2 linked regions of the Nothobranchius furzeri genome follow. The protein of the gene in region 2 interacts with the protein of the main gene of each other region in a biochemical or structural test. Links are inferred from orthologs where the notes say so. Each region holds a gene or a part of one and is shown on either strand. Other genes may lie near its edges.

Region 1 (4,505 bases), on a different chromosome or scaffold from region 2:
TAGCAGGTGCAGCTGCTAATACAGTAGCGGGTGCAGCTGCTAATACAGTAGCGGGTGCAGCTGCTAATACAGCAGCAGGTGCAGCTGCATAGTTTTGCAATAAAAATGTTATGTTGTAATGGAATTCATGCATTAGTTTTTGTTTGCTTTGAACCCAGAGCAGACGTCACACGCCAGACGACATCAGCACTGCATACTTTAGTATTTGTTCATTTATCGTGAGTAATATCGATATCGCAATATTAAGCACGGTTATCGAATATCGCAGGTTTTCCTAATATCGTGCAGCCCTAATGTAAAGTATTTGTTGTACATTAAATCTCAACCGTGATGACTGACTTTTGTTCCTACTAAGAGAAAAAAAAATTGGTACGGACCAGAAAGTTCAAGTCCAACAACAGCTGATCCAATCAATGGAATCAACGTCTTTTATGAGTTCTGCTGGAACAGGCCAACAGCCAAACAAACCATTTTAAATGAAACTTTGTTGGGGCTCACAATGACCCAAGAGCCCTGATAAATGACCAGCCACACCCCCTTAATGAAGCCCTACAACAGGAAGACCAAGCAGAGCACTGATTGGTCAGTTGACCTTGATGTCTCAATGATGCTACATCATATGGATAATTCTATAAGCATTCAGGGGTAGTCTGGATAACCCCAGTCCACCCTAGAACGTTACGCCTGGATGTCTTCCTCACGTTCAACAAGGATGTTAGCAGTAGTTCGGGCTAGTGTTGTTGTGTGGTTAGCATTCTAACTACCAACATTTGTAAACTGCTGACGTTGAGGTGGGTTGGGACATGCAAGTTTCAGTTGGTTTGTCTATGACTATTGATCGTTACATAAAAAGCAGGTCGGAGACGGCACAGACTTTAGGAATGGTGCATCCGATCCCCCTAGCTCCCAATGTTCAACAAGATCAACTCTAGGATGCTTTAACATCTGTATAAATGAGATTGTTAAATTTGCCAGACTCAGCTAAATGTTTTAGTTCTATTGCTCAAGAAACAAGCTCTGTTCAAATCAAAGCTTCATGCAGGAAGGTCAAAGGTCACTGGTACACTAGGACAACAATCTACATTTCCAACAATTCCTGTTAACATCTCAGCTCGTTACCCCTTGAGGAATCTGAGGAAATGAGATATAGATGCTTTTGTGGGTCCATCACCTGCCTGGCTGACCCACCTGCATCCTAAAAGTCAACGACCCACCTCTCCCCTACCTGCCTTTCTCCTGCTTCCCTCCCTTTCTTGTAGATGGTGCAGCAGAGGACTCCCATTATGTAAGCCTCCCTACGTTCTGCCTGGCCCCTTTTCTCCCAGCCTTGCAACACCATCACAGAATGGCGCCTCCTATTGAGTAAGCAGCAGCCCCTACAATATGTCTGCAGCAGAGGGGGAGGGGAGTGGAGGAGAGAGTGATGTTGGAAGGGAGAGGAAGAGGAGGGAGAGAAGGAGTGAGAGAAAGAAATCATGGGGGGGGGAGTGTGCATGGAGGAAGAGAAGGGGGAGTGAGCGGGTAAGTGTAGAAGGAGTGCAAGGGGAGAGATGGGGGGGGGGGGGTGAGCCAGGGAGGTAAGGGGAGGGGGGGGGAGGCAGGGAGGTCAGGCACACAGAGAGGAGAGGGGAAGGGAGGACTGGGAGGCTGGAGGGACAGAAAATGGAAGAGGGTGAGAGAAAGAGAGGGCGATGCAGAGCAGGGGAGGGGAGAATAGATAGCCAGGGAGAGGCTGAGTAGGAGGGAAAGGAGGGAGAGAAGGAAGAGGACTGGGAGGAAATGCAGGAAGAGGCTGCTCTGCTGTGGCGATGGCTGCTGGCAGAGAACATGTTTCCCATTCTGCAGTGGTGCTAAAGAGAAAGAAAAGAGGCCTTGAAATCTTTAAATGCTGCCGAATAATCCAACAGGATGTGATAACCAATGTTCTCAACCCTCATGTTTACCATTCCTCCACGTTTACTAAGAGGTCACACTTCTTGTGACATCCATGTTCGCTTTAATAGAAGAATAATAGTCTTAAATGCCTCTGATGAGGTTTCACCACACGGCTCAACACCTGTAAACGGTATTAAAGGTGACAGGATGTCTGAGGGTGACCATGGCAGCACTGCTCCCCTTTAGAGGCACACACCTGAACTCACCTGTCTAATCACAGACAACCAGGACTCCCTCATAAACACTTCCTCACAATCGGGTTCAAAACCAAACTGTTTACACTAATGTGGTCACTCTCCTACAATCCCATAATAACCACAGGACAGATCGGTCGCTGTAGCAACGAACAGAACAAACTGTGGACCATCCGTGGTGTTCGTGATGAGTTAAATATCCAAGACAGCTGACAGAATCCAGATAGTTAAAAGCAAAAAGCTGCTGCAACTGACAAAGGAGGGATGGTGGTGCCGCGCTGAGCTAACATGCTAAGCTAACACCCAACAACATGGGTTGAAACGAAAGCTGTCGCATTTTCTCTTGGTTCTTCAATAACATCACGATGCGTTTAATTTAAGAATGAAACTTGTTTACCACCCCGACACACTAACACTAGCCACCACCACCCATCCCGTCCCGCAGGTAGGCAGCGGCAAGCGGCCACCATCTGTGGACTCTCCCCGGCATTAGGACATCCAGGTTTACCTGCTTTTACATCCAGTGCTCCCGTCTGAATTAAATGTGTCACCTCAGGATGACCGAGGTCGAGTATTCACGCTCCCGCTTGCACGGATATGTCGGTAATTCCCTCCCAGGTGCTTTGTGGGGGAGAAGTCACCCGGGCCGTCGGTCTACCTTCCCAGCCCGACAGCCCCTCAGCGACGAGGGCTATCCGCTTTCCCGTGGTCGGAGAACGGAAAGAGAGAGCTTCGGCGGGCGATTAAAACCTCCGTTTCCTGGAGCGGTGAAGGTAGACACATGTCAACTACCGACGTACTTTACACTCTGGTGAATTAATTAATTCAACTCTGATCGTAATTCTCTAACAGCGGGTTCCTTTTTACCCGTTCTCTCCCGACAGACAATACACATCCAGCCAACCAGCTGCCCTATCCAAAATGGCGCAAATCAAAGAAGCGGAAGTGACATATTCCTCATTAGCATAAATAATAAGACCAGGTCCTCGCTCTCATGATTGGTTTGCCAATCAGTTCGAACATTTAGGCAAACATCTGCTTAAAATAATAAATGCCTCCGTTGTCTTAAAGTTTGTGGACGGTATTGATTTCCTGTCTCTCTCTGCGGGGGTAAACAACCAGGCGCAGCAGTTACGTTTACGGTCCGGTAGCGGGCGTCCTGGTAGCTCCTCCCCTGCGGAGGCTCGGATGTGCACAGTGCCTCAGCACGCAGCTGGAGGCCGGGCCAACACTAGGTGGCGCTGTGATACCTCCATCCATTCAGCCGGGACTACTTTCCTGTAAGGTGGGACCGGACTCTGCATTTCTAGTTATTATAAAACCTCTTATTTGATGGTTACTGATGAACTTTTTCTTCTAAAATGTTTTAATACAAGTGTCTAGGGTTTGTTTCCAATTAAATGAAAAATACAGACATCTTCTCACACAAAAACCCAGATTATGTTCTAAACTACAGCTTTTAGCATGTTTCCTTTAATAGCAGACGTGGATTCCCAAAGATCTTAGATCCTTTAAGTGTTTCTTCCTGGATAATCCAGACATGTCCGTGATATTTTTGGGTATTTGATGTATGCCGACATTAAAAGTCTTACAAGTATATAAATGGAGTCAATTTCTAATTTTTGGATATGGCAGGTGTGATCAGTCTCAGGTTTCTGTTTCTTAAGTCAAGAGTTCATTTAAATTCGCATACAATTTCCATTGGATCAATTAAAAATAAACAAACAAGAGTCTACAATTAAAACGTGTTTATTTTTATGCATTTGCAAACTGTAATAATAAAGAATTCCAGAAACATTCTGCGATGGGATTGACAAGACTTGGGAATCACCATTTCTTCAGCATTCTGAAAACTACAGAAAAGAACATCTTCCACAGTTTTAACTGCTAACACCTTCCTTCTCCTGTGTTGTCCTGTCACCGTATGATTACAGAAAGTGGTGAACGTCTCTCTCTTGTTTTTAATTTGGTGAAACTTCTGTTTTAAAGACAAACTTGTGGAACGAGGAAAAAAAAAAGCTCCCAGAAGCTCTGAACATCGCTGATCACGTCGTGGCGAAGAGTGTGAGCAGTCCTCTCACAAATGACACGATCTCATTCCCTCCCAGTTTTGACTCTCCATAAACCCGATCCACAAAGGAAATAGGAACCTGCGAACGACGAGGAGAAAATAAACCTTAGTTTAATTTCAGCGGAAACGTTGAGAAGAACTCATACAAAGTACAAATATTCAAAGAACCCAACAGCGTGGTAGGTCAACACCTCTCCAATTGTGTAGTTGAGCTGTCTGGCTCGGACGATCATCTCCATCTGGAACACGTAACCTTTAGACACACACCGCTCCACCAGACTCTCCAGCACATTTTTCTTGTATAA
Region 2 (3,816 bases):
CATCCAACTGTGGACCCGCAGGAGGAACATGAAGGGTCCAGTGCAATGTGGATCCGGTGGCAGACCGAGGCGGGAGCCTTGGCGGTCCGATCCCCGGACAAGAAAACTGGTTTTTGGGACATGGAACGTCACCTTGCTGGCGGGGAAGGAGCAGGAGCTTGTGGCAGAGGTTGAGCGGTACCGGCTAGATATAGTCGGACTCACCTCGACACATAGCATTGGCTCTGGAACCCAAGTCCTTGAGAGGGGTTGGACACTCTCCTTTGCTGGAGTTGCTCCGGGTGAGAGGCGGAGGGCTGGGGTTGGCTTTTTGTTAGCCCCAAGACTCTCTGCCTGTGTGTTGGGGTTTGCCCCGGGGGATGAGAGGGTAGCTTCCCTCCTTCGGGTCGGGGAACGGGTCCTGACTGTTGTTTGTGCTTATGGGCCAAATATCAGTTCAGAGTACGCACCCTTTTTGGAGTCTCTGGGACGAGTGCTAGATAGTGCTCCATCGGGGGATTCCATTGTCCTGCTTGGGGACTTCAATGCTCACGTGGGCAATGACAGCTTGACCTGGAGGGGTGTGATTGGGAGGAACTGATCTGAACTCGAGTGGTGTTTCCTTATTGGACTTCTGTGCAAGCTGCAGTTTGGTCATAACGAACACCATGTTCGAACATAAGGATGCCCATCGGTATACTTGGTACCAGGGCAGCCTAGGTCGCAGGTCGATGATAGACTTTGTAGTCGTATCATCTGATCTGCGGCCGTATGTTTTGGACACTCGAGTGAAGAGAGGAGCGGAGCTGTCAACTGATCACCACCTGGTGGTGAGTTGGATCAGATGGCAGGGGAAGATGCCACGTAGACCTGGCAGACCCAAACGCATAGTGAGGGTCTGCTGGGAACGCCTGGCAGAAGAACCTGTCAAGATGGTCTTCAACTCCCACCTCCGGCAGAGCTTTAATCGCGTCCCGAGAGCAGTGGGGGACATTGACTCCGAGTGGGCCTTGTTCCACTCTGCGATTTTTGAGGCGGCTGTTGCTAGCTGTGGTTGTAAGGTGGCCGGTGCCAGTCGTGGTGGCAACCCACGTAACCGCTGGTGGACACCAGAGGTTCGGGGAGCCGTCAGGCTGAAGAAGGAGGCCTACAGGGCGTGGCTGGTCTGTGGGTCTCCGGAGGCAGCAGACAGGTACCGGATAGCCAAGCGGAGTGCAGCAGTGGCAGTTGCCGAGGCAAAATCTCGGGCGTGGGAGGAGTTTGGTGAGGCCATGGAGAAAGACTATCGATCGGCTCCAAAGAGGTTCTAACAAACTGTCCGGCGCCTCAGGAGAGGAAGGCAGCAACTCGCTCACACTGTTTACAGTGGGGATGGGGAGCTGCTGACGTCAACTGGGGATATAGTCGGACGGTGGAAGGAATACTTTGAGGAGCTCCTCAATCCCACCTATGCGCATTCCAAGGAGGAACCAGAGCCGGGAGACCTGGGGATGGACTGTCCAATCTTGGGGGCAGAAGTTGCTGAGGTAGTCAAACAACTGCACAGCGGCAGAGCCCCGGGGGCGGATGAGGTTCGTCCTGGGTATCTCAAGGCTATGGATGTTGTAGGGCTGTCGTGGTAGACACGTCTCTACAACATTGCGTGGTCATCGGGGGCAGTTCCTGTGGAGTGGCAGACCGGGGTGGTGGTCCCCATCTTTAAGAAGGGTGACCTGAGGGTGTGTTCCAACTATAGGGGGATCACACTCCTCAGCCTCCCTGGAAAGGTCTACTCCAAGGTACTGGAGAGGAGGGTCCGATCGATAGTTGAATCTCAGATTGAGGAGCAATGTGGTTTTCGTCCTGGCCATGGAACTATGGACCAGCTCTATACCCTTGCAAGGGTGATGGAGGGGGCATGGGAGTTTGCCCAACCAATCCACATGTGTTTTGTGGATTTGGAGAAGGCTTATGACCGTGTCCCCAGGGTCATCCAGTAGTATGGGGTGGGTGGCTTTCTGTTAAGGGCCATTCAGTCCCTTTACCAGAGGAGGGTGAGTTTGGTCCGCATAGCCGGTAGTAAGTCGGACCTGTTCCCGGAGAGGGTTGGACTCCGCCAGGGCTGCCCTTTGTCACCGGTTCTGTTCATTAACTTTATGGACAGAATTTCTAGGTGCAGCCGTGGTGTGGAGTGTGTCGAGTTTGGTGGCAGGAGAATCTCGTTTCTGCTTTTTGCGGATGATGTGGTCCTCCTAGCTTCATCCAGCTCTGATCTTCGGCTCTTGCTGGGTAGGTTCATGGCCGAGTGTGAAGCGGCTGGGATGAGGATCAGCACCTCCAAATCTGAGACCATGGTTCTCGACTGGAAAAGGGTGGCTTGCTAACTCCAGGTCAGGGGAGAGGTCCTACCTCAAGTGGAGGAGTTTAAGTATCTCGGGGTCTTGTTCACGAGTGAGGGTAGGAGGGATCGGGAGATCGACAGGTGGATTGGTTCGGCGTCTGCAGTGATGCGGACGCTGAGCCGATCTGTCGTGGTGAAGAGGGAGCTGAGCCAGAAAGCCAGGCTCTCGATTTACCGGTCGATCTACGTCCCAATCCTCACCTATGGTCATGAGCTTTGGGTAATGACCGAAAGAACGAGACTGCGGATACAAGCGGCTGAAATGAGTTTCCTCCGTAGGGTGGCCGGGCTCAGCCTTAAGAGATAGGGTGAGGAGCTCGGACATTCGGGAGGGACTCGGAGTAGAACCGCTGCTCCTCCGGATCGAAAGGAGCCAGTTGAGGTGGTTTGGGCATCTGGTCAGGATGTCTCCTGGACGCCTCCCTGGGGAGGTGTTTCGGGCATGTCCTGCCGGCAGGAGGCCCCCGGGTCGACCCAGGACACGTTGGAGAGGTTACATCTCCAATCTGGTCCGGGAACGCCTTGGGGTCCTGCCGGAGGAGCTAGTGGAGGTGGCCGGGGAGAGGACAGTCTGGAGCTTCCTAGTTGGGATGCTGCCCCCGCGACCCGGACCCGGATAAGCGGAGGAAGACGACGACAAAGTGTGCATGTGCCGCCGGCAACTTCAGCAGATGATACGGTGGCTGGTAAGAGTCACCGCGCCTATACCGCAGCCACGGTAATCCACCGAGATAATATATTTTTTAAAAAACAAGACGGTTATTATTATCGTCAACTTTTTTACCGGGGTTTACCGCTACACCGGTTACCGTGACAACCCTACTTACTTCTGCATGGGGCTCAGCTCCACTCGAACGATGAGTTCTGTTTTAGAAGGCATGTGTTTGAACACATCGGCCTTCAGCCTCCTGAGCATGTGGGGTCCCAACATGTCATGGAGTTTCTTGATTTGGTCCTCTTTGGCGATGTCTGCAAACTCCTCCAGAAACCCTTCAAGGTTACTGCAAAAAATATGAACAAATGATTAAAATTCTGTCCCTGTGAGCTTCACCACAAAAACAAAACATAAAGCAACTAACTTGAATCTCTCTGGAGTCAAGAAGTTCAGCAGGTGAAAAAGCTCCTCCAGGTTGTTCTGAAGAGGGGTTCCAGTGAGCAGAAGTTTGTGTTGCAGTGAATAGTTGTTCAACTGCCTAAAGAACTAGAATTAGAGAGAAAAACAGGGAAAATGACAAGAAATCTCTGAAAATATGCTCATTCATAAAGCACAGCAAAGCATTGAGTATCTGCAGGTTTAAGGGAGCCAAATTTAAGACTTTGAAGGCTTTTTTAAGGCCACTTTGACCAAATTTAAGCTATGTTAAAAATTAAAGCTATAATTTCCAGCTATTGCCGGGAACCGGTGCTAACCACGTCGCGAACGTGGGATTAACCATCCAGTTACCATTAAACTTGCA

Evidence for each region.
Region 1: the proteins of chd4b (region 2) and adnpb form a complex in vitro, tested with the Homo sapiens proteins (2 studies listed by BioGRID). The link is inferred for Nothobranchius furzeri from reciprocal best matches to the Homo sapiens genes CHD4 and ADNP.

What each region holds. Positions count from the first base shown.
Region 1 is NC_091755.1:48,128,755-48,133,259, forward strand, and holds the start of adnpb (activity-dependent neuroprotector homeobox b), read right to left. Parts: upstream 2,845-4,505; 5' UTR 2,638-2,844; intron 1-2,637. Other genes in the region: dpm1 (dolichol-phosphate mannosyltransferase subunit 1), read right to left, coding at 4,175-4,279, 4,392-4,505.
Region 2 is NC_091745.1:74,017,811-74,021,626, forward strand, and holds part of chd4b (chromodomain-helicase-DNA-binding protein 4), read right to left. Parts: intron 3,561-3,816; coding exon 3,439-3,560; intron 3,361-3,438; coding exon 3,187-3,360; intron 1-3,186. UniProt on the Homo sapiens protein: ATP-dependent chromatin-remodeling factor that binds and distorts nucleosomal DNA. Acts as a component of the histone deacetylase NuRD complex which participates in the remodeling of chromatin.